Arabidopsis thaliana: one gene and its partner. The protein of the gene in region 2 interacts with the protein of the main gene of each other region in a pairwise test. Each region holds a gene or a part of one and is shown on either strand. Other genes may lie near its edges.

The links.
Region 1: the proteins of AT5G14020 (region 2) and SSI2 interact in a protein complementation assay, tested with the Arabidopsis thaliana proteins (one large-scale study listed by BioGRID).

Annotation. Positions count from the first base shown.
Region 1 is NC_003071.7:18,118,269-18,123,424, reverse strand, and holds SSI2 (Plant stearoyl-acyl-carrier-protein desaturase family protein), read right to left. Parts: upstream 3,553-5,156; 5' UTR 3,319-3,552; coding exon 3,179-3,318; coding exon of another isoform or gene 3,175-3,178; intron 2,072-3,174; coding exon 1,567-2,071; intron 1,491-1,566; coding exon 930-1,490; 3' UTR 536-929; downstream 1-535. Other genes in the region: AT2G43720 (FAM136A-like protein (DUF842)), read right to left, coding at 10-132; AT2G43700 (Concanavalin A-like lectin protein kinase family protein), read right to left, coding at 4,926-5,156.
Region 2 is NC_003076.8:4,522,870-4,527,690, forward strand, and holds AT5G14020 (Endosomal targeting BRO1-like domain-containing protein), read right to left. Parts: upstream 3,299-4,821; 5' UTR 2,951-3,298; coding exon 2,746-2,950; intron 2,671-2,745; coding exon 2,596-2,670; intron 2,518-2,595; coding exon 2,456-2,517; intron 2,357-2,455; coding exon 2,206-2,356; intron 2,125-2,205; coding exon 2,028-2,124; intron 1,953-2,027; coding exon 1,886-1,952; intron 1,793-1,885; coding exon 1,694-1,792; intron 1,571-1,693; coding exon 1,478-1,570; coding exon of another isoform or gene 1,448-1,477; exon of another isoform or gene 1,368-1,447; coding exon 1,213-1,367; coding exon of another isoform or gene 1,170-1,212; exon of another isoform or gene 1,145-1,169; coding exon 1,040-1,144; intron 958-1,039; coding exon 861-957; 3' UTR 552-860; downstream 1-551. Other genes in the region: AT5G14030 (translocon-associated protein beta (TRAPB) family protein), read left to right, coding at 4,009-4,190, 4,499-4,597, 4,682-4,790.

The sequences.
Region 1 (5,156 bases), on a different chromosome or scaffold from region 2:
GAGACGAACTTGAAGGGTGAAATTGATGTGGTCTTGTACTGGAGAAAGAAGAGACTGCGACGCAGAACTGACTTCGTTAACTTTCTTTCTAATCCTCTCTCTCACCATCTTCTCCTCCGCCGTTTGATCCATTTTTTCCCGGCGAGTTGATTTATTAGTTCAACTTTGCTCTCACAATGATTCACTCGAAAAAGTTTGGAATCTTTACTTGCAAAAAAATTAGACAAAAAAAGACTGAAAAAGAGAACATTTTTTTACTCCTTCCCCAAGTTCTCATAGGTAGCTTCAACCGCCTCCCATCTCTGAAACACTACCTTATTTGGGCCTAGCCTCTTTTAAATTGGGCCCATTTACGAACATTATCATCTCCTTTAGTCTGGCTCAAGCATGAAGTTACCTCAACAGCCGTCTCTGTTTCTTCTTTCAAAATCTATCAACTTCTCACTTTTTTTTTGTCAAGGGTTTCATTATTATTGACTTTACATTAATTTATAGAGATAAGCATTAAGCATGATCGTCAAACATTGACCAATTAGTTAAATGTAAACTGACATTGAAGATATTCAATTATTCATCATGATCATCCATCAAAATTGCTAAAAAGCCACATGAGTTGTTTGTCGAGAAACAGGGGAAAAAACAGAGAGACAAAACAAAACTAACCTGAACTTAAACAAAACTCCACAGAGAAGAGGAAGACTGAGTACAGACCATACTTAAACTGTTTTAACTACTACAAGTGTGCTAACGGACCAAAGACCAAACATATAGTGACTGGGAAAAACAAAGCTACTAAATCACTGCATCTCAACTTTGTAACTAGACCCACCAACATTATCAGAAAACCATAGTAATCTACACCAATTTTAAGAGCAGACAGATGAAATGAGGAACCGGGAGGATAGGTTTTTGTTTTTGTCTTTGTCCTTTTAGAGCTGCACTTCTCTGTCGTGTATCCAACTGAAAGGAATCTTGGGTCCTTTCTTGGCTCTTGCTTGAGCTCTCTCATCCAATCTCTTGATCCTTGGAGCCAACCCGCATAAATAGTCTTGTGCTTTGTTTCCTTCACCTGAAAGCCCGGTTAAGTCCTGGATTTTCCACCTACCAACCAGAAACTCAAGAATGTCTGCATAGTCTTTGGCGGTGTAAACACCGAGCCTCTGAGCCACGGAAGAGAAGTTGTCAAAGAGGTTGTCGTTGCGCCCATCATACATCAAGTGAGCAGGCATTGAGATTTTCTTTCTCATCATGTCTGCAAAAGCCATGACAGTACCATCAGGATCAATCTCAAAGAGCTTTTCAACTATCTTGGTGTATGCTGTTTCATGACGCTTCTCGTCTGCAGCTATTGTGCCACATATTTGGGCTAGTTTGATGTCCCCGTGCTCTTTGGCTTGGCGGGCTGTGTTTCCGTGAGAGATGAATGTCGCTCTTTCTTGGAATGACGTATAGATGAAGCCAAGGTAGGGGTTATTCTCTGTCCGCGGATCCTATGAAAGATAAGTTAAAGCGATTAGGTAGTTATATTAACCAAGAAATCATGATAATTGCCTGAAACTATCTCACCATTCCAGATCCAATCAAGTACTGAATGGTCTTTTCGATCTGCCTCATGTCAACACGACCAGACAAGTAAAGGTATTTATTCAGAAGATCGCCATGTCGGTTTTCTTCTGCAGTCCAAGCTCTGGTCCAAATAGCCCATGAAGTAGGACTAGCACCTGTTTCATCCCTAACTCCATCCAAAGTGTTCAACATAGTTTGATAGGTCGGAAGTGCTTCTTCTGTGATCATGTCCCCCACCAAAACAACAAAGTAATCATCAGGGAGCTCTCTAGCCCTCTCTCTTAACTCTCTTACCTGATCTTCAAACCCATCTGATGCAGGGTCAGGCAAGAAATCCTGGGGTTGCCAAGACTTCTCCACATCCTTGAGGTGAATCAGAAGGTTCTCCTCGGCCCAGTTTTCCATAGATTTGAAGATCTCGATCTTTTGAGGTGGCATGGAGTGCAAGACTTGAACATGCACTTCCCTGGGTGGCGTAAATGGTTTCTTCAAACTCTCAACCTCCCTGCATTAACCAGAAAATAAGTATCATTAGCATTTAATTATGCTCCATTGAAATTACCAGTCAAGGTCTCATCTCTGATACACAACTGAAACAAGAACACAGTTTATTGTATTTAGATAAGCATTCATGTCTACATTTCCAAATCAACTAATTCTATGTTTGAAGCGAAACAATTTCACAATTCATGACTAGCAAACACTTAGAGATGGTTAACCGTAAGACAATATTTTATATTTGCATTCATGGATTGGTCTTGCAGTTCAATATGAAGCAAAAAAGAAAGATTGTGAAAGAAACAAATGTAGTGACTACTGATCAGACAAAGACAAGATAAAGAGCCAAATGTCTTCAAAACAGAGAAAGAATGAATAATAAATTACAGAAAAGTGTGAAAATTTTGGACGCAAACTAAAGAGAGAAGCCACGAAGTACGCATGCATAGAGAAAGGCCACGAAGCGTGATATCCAACGTAATGTCTTTGAAGAAAGATAAACAGACGTAAACTGATACGTTCAAGAATCTCTTGTCAATACAAAAGAGAAAACTCATCAAATGAGTAAGAAACAAGTGGATAAACATTTCACCATTAAAAATTACTAAACCAGAGAAAACAAAACAAAACTTTCTCTTTGACTAAGAAGCTTTCCTCAATGTCTGTTAAGTCTTAACCAATCTAAAGATCATTATACCATAAAGAAGATAACTAGTGTTAATCTTAACTAACAACCAATCAACGAGCAATCTACATAATCTGATGCAGAATAAATATGGTAAAGGCAACGATTTGATAGATGGGGCAATCTCAGAGAAACGTGAGAATAATAGGGAACAATCAACAAACATCAGATTCAATGAAAAAGAGCATTAATGAATCACCTGAGAACAGAGGATGGCCCATTCTTATAAACCCAGATTAAAAGAACGTACTTTTATTGAAATCACACTCGAGATTAAGCAAATGTAAGCAAATAACACTGAACAAAATCGAGAAAACGTAGATCCAATATCGATAAGAACAAGCAAAACCCAGAACACAGTAAACAAAGATGAAACAGAGAGAATCGAAAGTAGATAAGAGAGACGATGATGGAGAGAAAGAGACTGACTTGGGGCCGGAGCTGAGAGCCGGAGAAGAAGAAGCGAGGCAGAGGAACTTGGGAGATCTGAAAGAAGGAGTTGGCGGACGAGTCGAGGAAGGGAATTTGTAAGGCTGAGATGCCACCAAAGGGTTAAACTTTAGAGCCATTTCTGGATATGATGAATGAATCCTTCTTTTCTACAGAGCTAGAGCTCTCCCTCAATCTCTATCTCTCGGTCTGAGTTTGGTTCTTCTGGCTTTTTCTCTCAGGTTTAGTTTCGTCCACAGAAAGAGAATGCTTATGCACAGCGTTGAGCGTAGCAAGCAATAAGAGAGACGAAAATAAATAATTCTTTTTTTTGTTAAAAAAATTATTCTAATAAGGAAAATGACGTCATATTGTCATTTGTGTGTGAAAAACAAGGTGACAAATTATAAAAATAAATAAATTGGGTATCTGTTCTAAAATACCCTTGAGATGCTTCAATTTTGACACTATTGTTCTTACATATGTCGGTAAAATATTTGTATCAAATAATTATTAGTCAACAATAATGATCAATGATACATCAAAACATCGAGTAGCTAAGTAGCAGTATACTAAATATTAATATAGTTGAGAAAAAGTTGCAAGAAAAAAAAGGGATACATCTTGAAAAGAATTGTTGATTAAAAATTCTTTTATTGAGTTGAATAGTAAAGTTGAAAAAATTGATTACTTTTGAGCACCTATGTCAAAGATGATTATGATTCATGCTTAGTCTCTTTCACTCATGACTTGTGCTAATTGTTAGATGACTCTCCTATATGTGTGATAATTTGGTATTAGATCTATGAAAATTGATGAGCAATGAGAAGGGGTAAAAAGGTCAAAACAAAATATAAAGTGTTTATATTAATTTATGTGAGTTTTGTAATAATCGACGTACTCGGGCGTGAGAATCCACGTAAAAGCCAAATAAGTTTGAAGCATGAAAGAGACAGAGAGGGGACAAGTGGCATAGGATCTCCACGTGGATGTCCCACTTGGCATATGAAAACTCTATAAACCGTACATTGGGTTTAATGGTTTTTTGCATTTTAGCATCATTCGATACTTTTCTGCCAAGTTTAGCTAGCTCAACGTTTTGAGTAATTTGATAGCACAACGTTTTCGGTTTTTCATTGAGACCATGACAACAAATTTAAACTTATTCTTTGTTTTCGTTCCATCACATTTAAGTGTAAACATTAATGCTTGTTTAACATCTCTTTCGGTGATTAACATTAATCAATGGAGTATATACTTCGATTAACATCTCTTTCAGTCATAAATCATAAGTGTGTGTAAACATCCCCATTGGTGTTCACCATACGTTTGTGTAAACATTAGATCTCTTAAAAATATCCAATTTATCCAATAAGTTAGCACACAGAAGAAATATGTAGACTTTTCATAGCTGAAAAACACAACAAGTACTACAACATAAAAGTAAACACAAACGCATACTTTTCAGGTCATGTGTAATTATTCCACCGCCGATATAAGTATAAACAGAAATCAAAACGATACATTCAATACAATCACCAAAATAAAGATATTTATCAAGCAAACACCGTCACATTTTTAGATTTCTCACCAAACCTCGACCATCACTTTTTACCGTCCGACGGAAGTCATCGCTTCCGTGATGGTCAAGTGTCCTTTCTGACTCCTTTGTCATCAATCGAAAACATAAAATATTTACAAACAAACATGTCATATATCATTTCACGACCGAACTCAGCATCACGTCTCAGCGTCCCCGGGAGGTAAAAGGTTCCGTTAACGTCAAGGTACCAATGGACCCTTGTGATGTCAAAACACCAAGTACACTCTCAGATGTCTCAGACCACATTCTGACCTTCTCTGCTTTGACTATATCGAGTAGATTATCTGGAAGCTGCAGATCACCACCCAAGATCTGGACCACCTTAGACATGTCTGGCCTAATTGCTACAGCCTGGTGCGAACACAACACTCCCAA
Region 2 (4,821 bases):
TGCTACCTTTTTTGGATATTACTTATGACGATGATGATGATCGTTTCGATTTTAAGTTTCTGATGATACTTTTATCTTTCATGGATGATGCATTTTTGGAAGAACAAAAAAAACAGCAGATTTTGATGAATTAACGATCATCACCGTTACGAGTGATAATCGGAATGTTTTTGCGTTTTATCATTCATCGCCGTCACCTTAATTGGGAGATTAAAAAATCCGATCATGTCTGTGTCGGAGATCATTAGCACTACCGCCGTCAAAATCCCTTACCGCCTCTACAAAGTTGGTACGTGCGGAATCCAACATCTCATCATCATCCCACACGTGACGTTATTGTTATTCTGCTTTTTCCGCTTTTTTCCAAATTAAGACTACTAAACTGCGTGCCGTTTCCAAGCGCCTCACACAACAACCACTTCTTTTATTGTACGTGTGGAATCGAACATGTCATCATCACTTACACGTGACTAACTCACGTGACGTTGCGGTTATCCTGCTGTTTCCAATTTAAAATGCGGGCCGTTTTTTAGCTCCTCACACAACAACATTTCTTCTCCAACATAGCTAAACGCTTCCTTTATTAATTAGCAGCTGTTTTTTTTCTTTCTCTTCTAGTCCTTCCAAATTCTTTATCAAGGAAGATAAGTAATCACCCAGATATTACATTACTCTATACTCAAGTATCAGATTTTGTCTGACAAGAATACAAAATATTACATTACAATTATAAGTGGTAAAATACCCAAAGAATATGTGTAGAGAGAGTGCTTCTTTCTCAACGATCAAGGTCATCATCATCAACATGAGTAGCTAGTAGTCAAGAACTCAAGATGTTCTCTAAGCAAATGGGTTTGGTTTCATGAGGAAGAGACATCCTCTATTTCAGGCAGTTCAAAGTCGTCGGGTCTCAATGACAACTGAAAGTCTGGAAGCTCTGGCAAACACTGCATTGCCCTGTGGTTTTATCATATCATCACCTATCTTGTTTGATTCGTTAAAACAAACGCAAAAAAAGAAAACACTCTTAACGACTTACTTTTCTTCTTCTTCAAGCAAGTATCCATATGTCTGCGACTTTCTAAAAGCAACTTCTGGAATCTTCTGGCTCAAATGCTTCATAACACCCCACATAGGAGGAGCCCTGATAGATACAAAATAATTCTGAATCATTCATAATTCACATGTAGGATATCATACAACAACACAAACCTTGTGACAGGAGGAGCTAAGCAGAAGCTAAGACAGGCTTTTTTGCTTTCTCCTAGGATCTCTGCAGCTGCAAGGAAACAACACACAGCGCTCAAGTGACAAGCCGGCTCACTTCCCTTGTCTGTTACCAGTCCATGGTAGTAGTATGCTGCAGCCTGTTAAGAAAAAAGCAGAACATAATAGAGAGATATATTTTATGAAAGAACAATAGAGATGAATATATATCGGATCACTCTCAACAATAGCTTACATACACATACAATACCTTTGCTTCCAGAAACTTCCAGTAGATAAACCGGAGAAGTTTCTTGGCGCATCCATGGCTAACTGCTTCACAACTAGACAAGCAGTGATATGCCTGAAATGATAATGAGATCATTTTATAGCAAATTAATAATTAAAACAGAGAAAAGACATATGATTGCCCCGAAAGCATGCCACAGTTATAAGAAGCTGAAGATTGTTAAACTATGAGGAGGACCTGAGTGAAGTAGATGACTTGCTCACATGCAATTCTCCTCTTCACAGACAATGTTGCTTTCTGACTATCAACTGCTAATCCAAGTTGAATCTCAGTTCCCTGCAGTGAGATTCAACCAAACTTACAAATTGAAAACATATATACAAGATTCAGGTTTAGGAGTCACAGTTTCAAAGTAAGCATGTGTGTAACCTGGCCTAGTGCTTGTATAGAGAGAGTTTGTAATACACTTTCCTGCATATCATCTGGCAACTTACTCCTGCATACATATAGCAAATTTTCAGATATGTAAGTATTAATGTGATCCTAGAATTTATGTATTTGTGCTTCATACTTTATATCATGAGGAAGTTGAGTCAGAATCTCTCGGACGCAGAACTCCAAGTATCCAGATGCCTTGAGCAGCAAGTCAACCGCATCTCTCCTGCAATCTGTTTGAAAGTGACAGGTTAATTAGTTTTTTGTAAACACAATAAATTAAAATAAAAGTGTGAAAGTCAACGAGGCCACACCAGTGGAGACCACACGGACGCCATTGCCAGAACCAGAAGCATAGCAATCCTTTGGAATCATGAGAGAGTTAGCTTCAGTCAATGCCAAAGCAGCCATCATGTGGATCACTATCAACATCTCCATCCAAAGGTTTGTGCAACATATCTCTGCCTGTATACACCCTTCACATTGTTAAGATTTTAATGATACTAGAACAAACAAAATGAATATCCTTAGGATCAGCTTAATTTAAGCAAAAACCGAACTTACTCGTCGACCATCGCCAAGGGTCCTCCATTTGAGCTCTACGCAGCCCTCCATTCCATCTTTACCTGTAGAGTTAAATATTCTAATATCACCATTTGAATATACTAAACTGTTTAAGTTAATCAAAACTTGCAAACACGAACTTTTCTTGATAAGACCGGATAGAAGTGACAAGTACTCCTCCAAAGCTGTACGCAACTCAGAGATGGCTGAACCCCCTGCAGTAGAAAAGATGGAACCTTATGTCTTGACACGCAAGAAAAGAGGAAGAAGTTGGTCTAATTTCTCTATACCTGTGTCCTCAGCTACCAACTCAATCTGATTTCTTAAACATGTCAACCGATTGATGGTTGTCTTGGGAGAAACACCTTTGAGTTGGCGCTGAAGATCAGACTGAACAGGAACACGGAACTGTAGAACAAACACTACAGATTCTTGAATGATCCTCTTCTTGTTCTTCCTTCCCACAACAGCAATAGTAGATTGAGCACACCCCATGCTCTCTTTCTCTCTCTCTCTCTCTCTGCTATGATCTTTTGCTCACAAAATCATCCTACACAACATTGACATATATATATGTCAAAATAAGGATGTTTTGGAACAACCTGAAGCAGATAGATCCGGATTAATTTTGAAGCTCTAAGTAAAATATAAAAAGAACAATCTGGAAGAGAGAATCTCAGAGAGCTAACCAGAAGAGATAAGTAAGCATGTGATGATGGGAAGAGAAGATTTACTCAGGTTTCAGAGTTCGATGCAAATCCCTCCACATGCTCTTATATTCAACGATAGATATACGTGATTTAGTTAACCAACAAAGGAAAATCACATGCCTTTCGGTTTAATCCAAGTTTTAATTATGTTTCTTACGGGTAGCTGTGAATTCTTATTCTATGTCCCCACCCACTTGCCTACTTTTTATTGGCTCTCCTGTTTTAGTTTTAGTACTTCCTTCCTCGTTGACTTCTTTCCTTAACTTTCCCGCCACCTTGATTAATTGAATCAAATCAACTTTATCAGTTTTTACCCTCTTTTCTTACTCCAACCAAAAGATTGTTAGAAATGAAAATGAGATTATGGTAACAAAACCTCCATTGATTCGAGTCAATATGTCTTTTGAATGATATGAATCGTTGGCTATTACATCTTAAGTAGACTTTATAATTAGACGAGATAATTAATAGACAAAGTCATCTATGATTATAAAAGTATTAGAGAATATTTGGATCCAATCGAAATGTGGTGTGGGAAAAGAAACATGTTAGATTGTGGCAGGAGACAGGCTGTGTTATCTTCATTGTTCTACTGCAAGTGCAAACACACTTCCCTTCTTTAATTTGGACGGTATATTAATACACTTTATTATTAGAATGGGCTTTTATAAGTAGGCCCATTATCAGGTGAAAAACAATTGGGCCCATCATTGACTTTTTTTGTTAATGGGTGGTGGTGGTGGTGATTAATATCGTCGTCGGAGGTTTCTTGAGCTGAAGAAAACATTCGTAGATCTATTTCCGCATCTGCTTAAACACCTACATCGTCGTAGATCGCAAACCATGGCCGTCGCTGTAGCTAAGCTTCTGATCTCCGCCATGGCGGTTTTCATGCTTGTTTCTGCTTCGTTCGCGACCTCGGAAGTGCCGTTCATGGTGGTTCACAAGAAAGCCACTCTCAACAGGCTCAAATCTGGCGCCGAACGCGTCTCCGTTTCCTACGACATCTATAACCAAGGATCCTCGTTAGTTCTCTATCCTTCATCTAGTTATTTCCCGAATCCGTTTGATTTCTCCATTTTCATTTCCGATCCGTGTTAATTTCTGATTGCATGGAGAGATTGGTCAATGTAGAATTAGGAGATTATGCTTGAGCTATCATTAGATCTACCGTATGCGTATCAGTTAAACGAAACGCCATTTGATCTGATCTCATTGTTTATCGGAATTTTGGATTTGGTTTGTGAATTTTGTATCTGCCGGCTACGATGACTTTGAGATTTTTAATGAATGTCAGCTAAAAGCGTCAGATATTTGTGGTGTTTGCTCTCAGGTCGGCGTATGATGTGACTCTGACAGATAATAGCTGGGATAAAAAGACTTTTGAAGTTGTTAATGGAAACACTTCAAAATCATGGGAAAGACTTGATGCGTGAGTTTCTTCCTCAATCATAAAATCTTATATTGGCCTGCTTTAGCTTTTACTCTCGTCACTAATCTAATATTTGCTGTGCAGAGGAGGTATTCTGTCTCATTCTATCGAATTGGAGGCCAAGGTTAAAGGAGTCTTCTACGGTGCTCCTGCTGTCGTTACTTTCCGCATCCCCACTAAGCCAGCTCTTCAGGTTTGCCATTTTTAAGCTCCCTTCATTCTAG